Linked DNA regions of Coturnix japonica. The protein of the gene in region 1 binds, or shares a complex with, the protein of each later gene. Links are inferred from orthologs where the notes say so. Each region holds a gene or a part of one and is shown in the gene's direction. Other genes may lie near its edges.

The links.
Region 2: the proteins of RABGEF1 (region 1) and RAB21 are in contact, whole or in part, in a crystal structure (PDB 2OT3), measured with the Homo sapiens proteins. The link is inferred for Coturnix japonica from reciprocal best matches to the Homo sapiens genes RABGEF1 and RAB21. Residues at the interface, in NP_001273991.1 of Homo sapiens: Leu253, Cys254, Lys296, Phe299, Asn300, Lys303, Pro309, Ala310, Ser311, Ala312, Asp313, Phe315, Leu316, Pro317, Ile320, Leu347, Met348, Thr349, Gly350, Glu351, Gly353, Tyr354, Tyr355, Thr357, Asn358, Cys360, Cys361, Ala364, Phe365, Ser373; in NP_055814.1 of Homo sapiens: Ser19, Phe20, Lys21, Gly26, Glu27, Gly28, Lys32, Thr33, Leu37, Thr50, Thr51, Leu52, Gln53, Ala54, Ser55, Phe56, Ala71, Trp73, Asp74, Thr75, Ala76, Gly77, Gln78, Arg80, Phe81, Leu84, Ile87, Tyr88, Asp91.

Annotation. Positions count from the first base shown.
Region 1 is NC_029534.1:3,855,804-3,860,319, forward strand, and holds the start of RABGEF1 (rab5 GDP/GTP exchange factor), read left to right. Parts: upstream 1-1,522; 5' UTR 1,523-1,642; intron 1,643-4,516. UniProt on the Homo sapiens protein: Rab effector protein acting as linker between gamma-adaptin, RAB4A or RAB5A. Involved in endocytic membrane fusion and membrane trafficking of recycling endosomes. Stimulates nucleotide exchange on RAB5A. Can act as a ubiquitin ligase.
Region 2 is NC_029516.1:33,033,846-33,038,370, forward strand, and holds the start of RAB21 (ras-related protein Rab-21), read left to right. Parts: upstream 1-1,643; 5' UTR 1,644-1,865; coding exon 1,866-2,015; intron 2,016-4,525. UniProt on the Homo sapiens protein: The small GTPases Rab are key regulators of intracellular membrane trafficking, from the formation of transport vesicles to their fusion with membranes.

The DNA of each region.
Region 1 (4,516 bases):
ATTCAACCAACCAAACAGCCTGAAACAAGACTGTTGGCTCAGGTACCTTAATGAGGCACAAAACAAAATCACCTCATGGAAATGATGGAGAGCAGTGTCTAACCTTTATGTTTTAATGTGCCACCTACTGTGTGGCTGCAGTCCCGTTGTCTGCAAAGTGGATGGCATGGATCTCAGCCTCAGGTGCTAGGAATGCTGACAGGACGTGGTTCCATTTTACCCACTTCAGAGTGTTTCGGTCACTACATTCAGCTTGTCACTTTATGGATTGAGTAACACCCCGCACTGAGATCCTGCAAGTGTAACTTTGGTGTCATAGACAATTAAACCAATAGAGGAGTATTGTTGTGAAGATGAAGCTATATGCATATTTTCTAAATTAAGAATCCTGCGTTGTGAAGTACAATATTTAGTTGTTTCTGTCGTTATTAAGAGGAACAGCAGATTGGGAAGAATATTCCTTATTGCTTTTTGGATTAATTACTGTTCATGAAGGACTGGTGCCTGTTTTTAGCCTTAGAAATTCTGAATGTTTACAGTACCTACAAAAAGAAACTCTATAGAATCAGGACTATCTGCAGAGGCTTCTGGTGAATGAGTAACTCCGTGTGTATGTTCCTATTAGCAGAAGTATTAAGAGTATTTAACGTGTATTATTTTATTACTGATTCTTTTTACATTCTGTGCTATTAAACTTTGTTCTGGAGCTGGTCAAGTCATGATACGACACAAGTGCTTCGTTCCTCACTTCCATCATTCAAACCATCATCTTCCATCATTCCATCAACATTCTTGCTGACACTTTGTGCAATACCAGCCCATTTTGTTCATCCCTATCCTGATATTTCTCCAGTTACCCATTTCTATGTGTCCAAAACTGAAGGATAGATGGAGCCATATGAAGATGCTGCTGTTTGGGGCTCTGAAAATGCATCTGTTGTCCAAAAAGACCCAACTTGAGGCAGCCTCACAGTGACCTTATGGAGGAAGGGGAAGTTTGTCTGCATATTGTGTCCCATTGGCTTCGCTCATCCAAGATTCTTAATTAAACATCTGACCAAAAGACTTTACAGATGTACTAATGGCGATACTAAAAGGCATCACTCACGTGAGAATAATGATTAAAAACTTGATGATAAAATGTATAGAAAAGGCTGATGGTTTGCATTGATTGATGTTCACGCTTCTATGCGGTTAAGGAATTGCTATTAAATTGCCTCTCAGAGATGGGGATGTAAAGCTCTTATGAGCCCTTTCCAAGTGTTTATTTGGAATAAAGGCTGCCAGGTGCTGAGTTTCATATCCAGAGCTGGAATAGTTAAACACAGCAGTGTTGGGAAGGGGGAGATGAACATCACTCAGGTTTATTTGACTCTTCAATATTTCAATTCAGTCATTCTTTAGGTTTCCCTACACTTTCACTGTGACTTTAACGAAAGCCTTTTGATTCGCTGTATTCCCAATTGAGTGTCTGTGTGTGTCCGGCCCAGCCGGGTGTGTATGAACGAACGGCTCCTCCCAGCCCGGCCCAGCCCAGGAAGTGACGCCGACCCCGTTTCCTCGTTCGGCCGCCGATCGGAAGAAGCGCCGGGAGCGGAGCAGAGCGGGACGGGGGGACGGCCCCGCCACCCCCGGGATAACGGTGAGCTGCTGCCCGCTGCCCTCAGCGGATGGAGCCGGGCCGCTCCCTCCTGGGCTGTCTCTTTCTCTGTCCCGCTCCAGGCCCGGCTCGCGGGGCCGCAATGAGGGTGAGGGTGAGGGAGGTGAGGGCCGAGCCCAGGTGATCCAGTGGTTCGAATGATCCTCCCCCTCTGCTCTGCCCTGGTGAGGCCTCATCTGGAATATTGTGTCCAGTTCTGAGCTCCTCAGTATAAAAAAGAAAGGGATCTCTTGGAAAGAGTCCAGTGGAGGGCTACTAAGATGGTGAAGGGCCTGGAGCATCTCCCCTGTGAGGAGAGACTGAGGGAACTGGGTCTGTTTAGCCTTGAGAAAAGAAGGCTGAGAGGGGACTTGATCCAGGTTTATAAATACCTGAGGGGTGGGAGCCATAGTGGTGAGGCTGGTCTCTTTTCAGTAGTGTGTGGGGATAGGACTAGGGGTAATGGGATGAAAGTACAGCATAGGAAGTTCTGCATGAATTTGGGAAGAACTTCTTTACAGTGAGGGTGACGGAGCACTGGAACAGGCTGCACAGGGAGGTGGTGGAGTCTCCTTCTCTGGAGATATTTAAGACCCGCCTGGACGCCGAGCTGTGTGACATGGTGTAGGGAGCCTGCTTTGGCAGGGGGTTGGACTGGATGATCTCTAGAGTTCCCTTCCAACCCCTACAACACTGTGATTCTATGACCTGCCTTAGGGTGCGGTGCTGAGTCAGCCGGGCACGTTGTGGCAGAGCCCGCTCGGTGCTTTGGGATGGATGGAGCTTGGAGCTGAGCTGGTAGAGCTGCACGGTGCTGGGAACATAGCTCCTAATAGCAGCTCAGCTTTAAGGCTGTTGGTGACACTGTTCTGCTTTGTTGTCGCTGTTGGGAAACTCTTTGAAGCGTCGCTGTGTGTTGGCAGCTCCTTGTGTTGGTGTCTGGGATGTGTATGGAGAAGCTCTTGGCTTCTCTTGCTCATTTGGGTCACCTTCCAGGCATGGCAGCACAGATAACTGTGCCTTTGTGTGTCTGACAGTGTTCTTGGGCTGCACTGAGAGAAGCACAGCCAGCAGGTGGATGGAAGTGGAAGGGGACAGACTCTAGTGGAGTCTGTTGTGACAGGACAAGGAGAAATGGTCTCAAACTAAAAGAGGGGATATTTAGACTGGATGTAAGGAAAAAGCCTTTTATTGTATGGGCAATGAGGCTCTGACTCAGTGCCCAGTGAGGTGGTGGATGTCACATCCCTGCAGACAGCCGGAGTTCAGCCTGGATGGGGCTGTGAGCACCTGATGGAGCTGTGAGTTCCCTGAGGGACCACATAACCTTTAAATGTCTCTTCCAACCCACATGATTCTGTGGTTCTTTGACAGTGCATGGCAGCAGCAGCCCTGCCGGGAGGACCATATACATGTCAGCCTTCTGGATGGGGCTGCACAAGTGTTTTGCAGGGGAAGACAAGATTGGGAAGACAGTTGTAACTCGGATGATGTTTTGCTGAGCAAACCCCACCAAAACAGCACGCAAATAGAAGAATAATAGGAACATGAAGTCAATGGTATCAGTTCATATCATCTTGCACAACAAGCAATCACCAAGTGAGGTGATTTCAGGTTTTTCATTGAGACAGGAGCATTCTCACTTCCGAACTTGTATCCAGTGAGTAAGGTTTATGTGCAGGCACAATAAGCAGAGTGTGTGGAAGCCGGTAGCTGCTATTTCTGAGCAGGTTTTAGAAGTTCTGGCTCCCCCTCTCACTTGAAATTCCCAGTTTCTTGTGATTTCATTTCAAAGTGCCTTTATGAGTCACGTGGATGTGGTGACACTGAGTCTGTTCATTCATCACTCCTCCAGCAGAGCAGTCATTGCTACAGGCACAATGTAAGATTTTGATGTGGGCAAGTAAAACTGTAGCCTGAGGTCTGCATTGATGCAGGGAGGGGAGAAGGGGGATGCCCTGACCGGTCTGTGAAATTGAGCTCTGTGGGTAGGACATTGAAGCCCCTCGGCCATTGGGCTCCAGGAGTTTAAAGCAGTGGTTGCCATTTCCCCTGCTTGATTACAGTCTGAGTCTGTTTGCTTGGTTTCAGGTGGCTGATCATGCTCTGGGTCTGTGGTTGCAGTTAACAACCATTTATATTCTCATTAGTATTAATCTACAACCTCTGCTGTGTATGTTGGGATGCAGATGTTACAGCTGGAGTCTCATAATTGCAAGGAAGATGCTCCCAACTTGGTGAAGACTCAAGCAATCTGTTCTGCAAACACAGATTCTTTGCATTTCTTTCTGAATTCTGAAGTTGCTTAATGGCTCTTGTATTTTCTGACTCTGTTAGATCACGCTGCCCCACCCTTTCCTTTGGAAGAAACCAGCTCATGCTTCATTAGCTCTCTGCTAATTACACGCTTGAACGTTTAGGGCTCCACGTGAGTCACGGCTCTTTCAACCCTTCGATGGCTCTGAAGAAGTTTGTGGCATTTGGGTCAGTGGTGGTTCTTTGGAATGAGCTCCTCCTGCACGATGGATGGTATTTTGGTTCATTACAAGCTGGTACTTTAGTGTGGTGTTCACTTAAAAGATCATCTCCTTCTTCAGATTCAGCACTGATTACGTTTTGTACCATTTACCCAGAAAGATATTTTCTCTTGCTTTGAGATAAGGCACTTTGTCTGTTTCTGAGCACTTCATGTGGGATGCAGCAGCAGCTTTGAAGCCGTTGGCTACCCCTATTATTCTCACCTTCCTTAGGCAAACTGCACTATTATTTCCTTAGGCTTTTCCTGCTTCTCCTGCTCTAAAATCCCATTCCTGGGATGGCCATTAAAGACCAGACAGAGTCAGTGGGCGATGCTGTGTCAGGCGTTCAGAGAACACA
Region 2 (4,525 bases), on another chromosome or scaffold:
TTAAAGCAGAAGTGTTTTTAGGAAGCTAGGTAAAAAGGGGAAGCACACCCTATTCAGTCAAAAAAAGGCATTCTCAAATAGTCCGAAATAAATCCAGATTTAATTACCACTACTAAAATAAATCGATAACTATCACAGATATTTCGATTTGCAGATTTCAGTGTCACACACATCAGATTACAGTCAAATGTGATGCTTTTTATAGCTCATACAGAATTTTCTTTCTCAACCATATCAGCCTTTTAATTTCATTTAGTGCAGGTGGCTAAAGTTTTGGGTATTATAACTTTTGCCACACAAACACATCTGTAACTACAGGGTTCAGGTAAGACAGAGGAAAACAGGAATGATGGAACGGAGTAGTAACTTGAAAGTGCTTATTGTCAGCGGGAAGATGCATCTTCTGGCTGTGCACCGTGGCAGAGGACTACTGGAGAAATGAACTGTGCCAGGACTGAGCTCCAGACTGTGTCTTATGCTTGGCTGTGCTCTGTTAGAAGAGCAGTGCTCATAGTTGTGGTCAGGAACATCAGCTTGTGGACTTTGCAGTGACTCTCCCTGATGACTCTTCTGTACCTGTGCCAGCAGCTCGTGCTCTTGAGCATCAACTTCCACTGTGTGTGCAATCTTCATCTATGCAGATCTCACTTCGTCATCCATTTGGCCTAGAAGACTTAGTAAAGTTTTACTTTAGTAGTTTCCTGCTCAGGCATGGAGGGCAGGATTGACAGCAGCATCACTTTCCAGCAAGACAGTATTTTTATCCTAACTTGCTGAAATAATTCACTTGCTGATGAAACTAGGAACGCATTTAAAGGAAAGATACCCTTGAAGAGTTTGACTGCATTGATTTTTCACCTTGTCCTGTTTCCTCTGCTTACATCTAGGGGGAAATAAAAACAAATCCATTTTCTATGTGAATGTAATGCTGCTCATTAATGAGGCTTCTTGCTCCAGGAAATCTGATCTTTGTTCTCCTGGAAGCGGTCTCTGTTCTTTCCTCCGTTCGTTCTCACACGACAGAGCATTAGTCTTATCTGACAAAGGAAATTGCACCGTGATGCCTTTTCATAAGCATTACTTTTCTTACCGCTAAATGATCACTAGAGAGGAGTTACATTGCAGCAGTTTGGATTGCTACGTGCAGAATGCTTTTAATTTAGGAAGGATATTCAATTTGACAGGACAGTTACCCGGTTCTTGGATGGAGAAATACAGGGGTTGGAAGTGGATGAGCTTTAAGGTCCCTTCCAACACAAAGCATTGACTCCAGGAAGGAGCCCAGAGATCAAGGAGTTCTACAGAACAAGAAGTGAAGTGTGTTTTAAGTTGAAGGTGGGAAGATTTAGATTGGATATCAGGGGGAAGTTCTTTACTATGAGAGTGGTGAGGTGCTGCCACAGGCTGCCCAGAGAGGCTGTGGATGCCCCATCCCTAGAGGTGCTCAAGGTCAGGTTGGATGGGGCCATGGGCAGCCTGGTCTTGGGTAAATTAATCTGTTGGTAAACCTCGAGTGCTTCACTGCTCTTATTCACGAGGAACACCGAGCACACCCTCCCTCCATCACACCCTCACAGAACCCCACCACAGATGGCGCCCAAACGCTCAATGCTCCCCGCCCCTCCCATTGCCGGCGCGTGACCGGGCGGTGCGTGACGTAGGAGGAAGAAGACGCCATTAGGGGCAGCGGGGCCGCTGGTTGTGTGGAGGTGTTTGCGGCTGTGTCTGCTTGTTGTCTCTCCAGCACTCCTTCCTCCATTCCTTCCTCCCGCCCCCTGCGCTCTTCATCCCTGCGTGCGGCGGCGTTCCGCGGCCGCAGAGCGGGGCGGTGGATGTGAGGCGGCCCGGCGGGCGGCGGGGCGCGGATGGCGGCGGGGGCCGGAGCGGCGGCGGCCGGAGGTCGCAGCTTCTCGTTCAAGGTGGTACTTCTCGGGGAGGGCTGCGTAGGGAAAACCTCCCTGGTGCTGCGCTACTGCGAGAACAAGTTCAACGACAAGCACATCACCACGCTGCAGGTGCGGGCCGGCCGGGGGCGCGGGGGGGCGGCTGTGGTTCCCCTTTAGGGGTACAGCTGAAGGCTGATTTGGGCTTCAGTTCGCCCGAATGGTGCTTCGGGGTCTCACTCGGTTCTTGTTTGATCGATTTATTCCTTCGAGTCTTGGGATGCGGAAGCGCGGCTTGAAAGTAATGTGGCTGTTGTTGTAATGGTTGGTGGTGGGCTGATGACTAAGTGCTTCGAGTGCGTTGCGTCTCTGTTAATGACAGCCTGCATCTGGTTGGCAGACCCGGTGCCTGAGTTACCTCAGTGCCAGCAGTTAGAAAGAACAGCTTTCACAAGCTTAAGGCTTATGATTTAATTACTCACAAGATCCGTGAGGCCATCGTGTAATCTCCATGAATTCTAGCCTGAGTTGTCACCGAACTTATAAACATCTGAGCAGTGAAATTCCACTGGTGAAATTGTGATGGGTGTCTACTGGAAAGTGATATTTGTTGCTGCCTCCCGGTGCTGAGCAGTCTGCATCCCACACAGCAAAACGCACGTGTGTTCTATGTGGCCTTGGAAAATGTGTTTTGAGTTCCATGTTGTGGGTTGTACAATCAGCACGTGTCTTTTGAGCTCTCTCTGCATGTTTAGCTTCTTTACTTGCAGCTGCGCAGCATCTCTTCTGCCTATTGAGGGCATGTATGTGGAAACATGGTTTTAGCACTGCAATCTATGCTGTGTTCTGTATGTTTTCTTGTAAATGAAGAAACAAACCCTGCTGCCATGTGGGTTCTGAACTGCTTTTGAAGGTCTGTTCAGCCTTTTGGGCTTGTTCAGCCTGGAGAAGAGAAGGTTACGGGGTGACCTCATTGCAGCCTTTCAATACCTGAAGGGAACCTACACCCAGGAGGGGAGTAAACTCTTCGAAAGGGCTGACGATAGCAGGACACGGGGAAATGGTTTTAAGTTAAAAGAGGGAAGATTTAGGTTGGATGTTAGGGGGAAGTTCTTCACTAGGAGAGTGGTTAGGCCCTGGAACAGGCTGCCCAGGGAGGCTGTGGATGCCCCGTCCTTGGAGGTGTTCAAGACCAGGTTGGACGGGGCCCTGGGCAACCTGATCTAGTAAAGGTGTATGTTTGGTGGCCCTGCCAGGCAGGGGGGTTGGAACTACATGATCCTTGAGGTCCCTTCCAACCCGGGTCATTCTGTGATTCTGTCTGTGAAATACAGTATAAATGGTGGTGCCTCAGGGTAGCTGTGTGCTATTCATGCACACCATGGGGAGAGATTCCAACTTTCCCTTAAAAGAAAGTAAACATTAGAGATGCATTGGAAACAGCACACTTAATATTTCATCAACAGGTATTGTTGCTCCGTATTTGTTTCAGGTAGCTAAAAATAATTTGAACTTCATCTGTCTGTGCTCATACTGGGCTGTTAGATGTACCTGTTTGTTGGTTTACTGAGGGTGATGTTGGAGGCACGGCAAGCTAATGATAGATCTGATTGCCACAGAGGTAACCTCTTCTTGACATGCTATAGAAGCGATCAGTCGTTGTTAGGTATCAGAGCTGCAGTTGTAACTTCTGTTGCTGCACCACCTGAAGGCTGGTGTTGAGCAAGCAGTCATGTTTAGAAGTGCACTGCAGTGACTGTGTATAGCTGAATTCTGATATCCTGTGTAGAGAGAATAGCTTGTCACGTGGCGTAGCTCTGGTTTTGTTGTCTCTTAAATTCTACAGCAGAAAGTCTAAAATTAGAAGCCAAAAGGGAGCTGGGTCACAGACATCAGAAAATGGAAATTTAAATGGCCCCAAAACGTTGACAGTCAAATGTCTCTCTAGGTGCTACAGCCTGAGAGCTTTTGCTTGAGGCTGCCTATGGGGAATGGAAGCTGCTTGTGAAGGAAGGGGAGCACATGCTCACATGTGATGTTGAAGCTCTGCTTCTCTGCAGTGATTATAAATACCTGAGGTGTGGGAGCCATAGTGGTGAGGCTGGTCTCTTTCCAGTAGTGCGTGGGGACAGGACTAGGGGTAATGGGATGAAAGTACAGCATAGGAAGTTCCGCACGAATGTGGAGAAGAAAGAATTACAGTGAGGGTGACGGAGCACTGGAACAGGCTGCCCAGGGAGGTGGTGGAGTCTCCTTCTCTAAAGATATTCAAGACCCTCCTGGACACCTACTTGTGTGACATGGTGTAGGGAACCTGCTTTGGCAGGGGGGTTGGACTCGATGATCTCTAGAGGTCCCTTCCAACCCCTACGATTCTGTGATTCTGTGATTAGGTTTCTAGTTGCTCCCTGTATATTTTAACCAGTTGCAGTATATCTTAACTCACCCCTCTTTGTTTTGTCTGAACCTCCTTAGTGCCACGCATCTTATTGATTGTTGAATCTCACTGTGTGTGATGTGTGCTTGTGTATTGTCATTCTTGCTTTTCTGTGCCTTGCAGTTGTGGAAGGAATTACCAAACCTAATGAAAACATTCATTTAAAAGAATAGATGGAGTGGCTAACAAAACAGTGACATTTTCA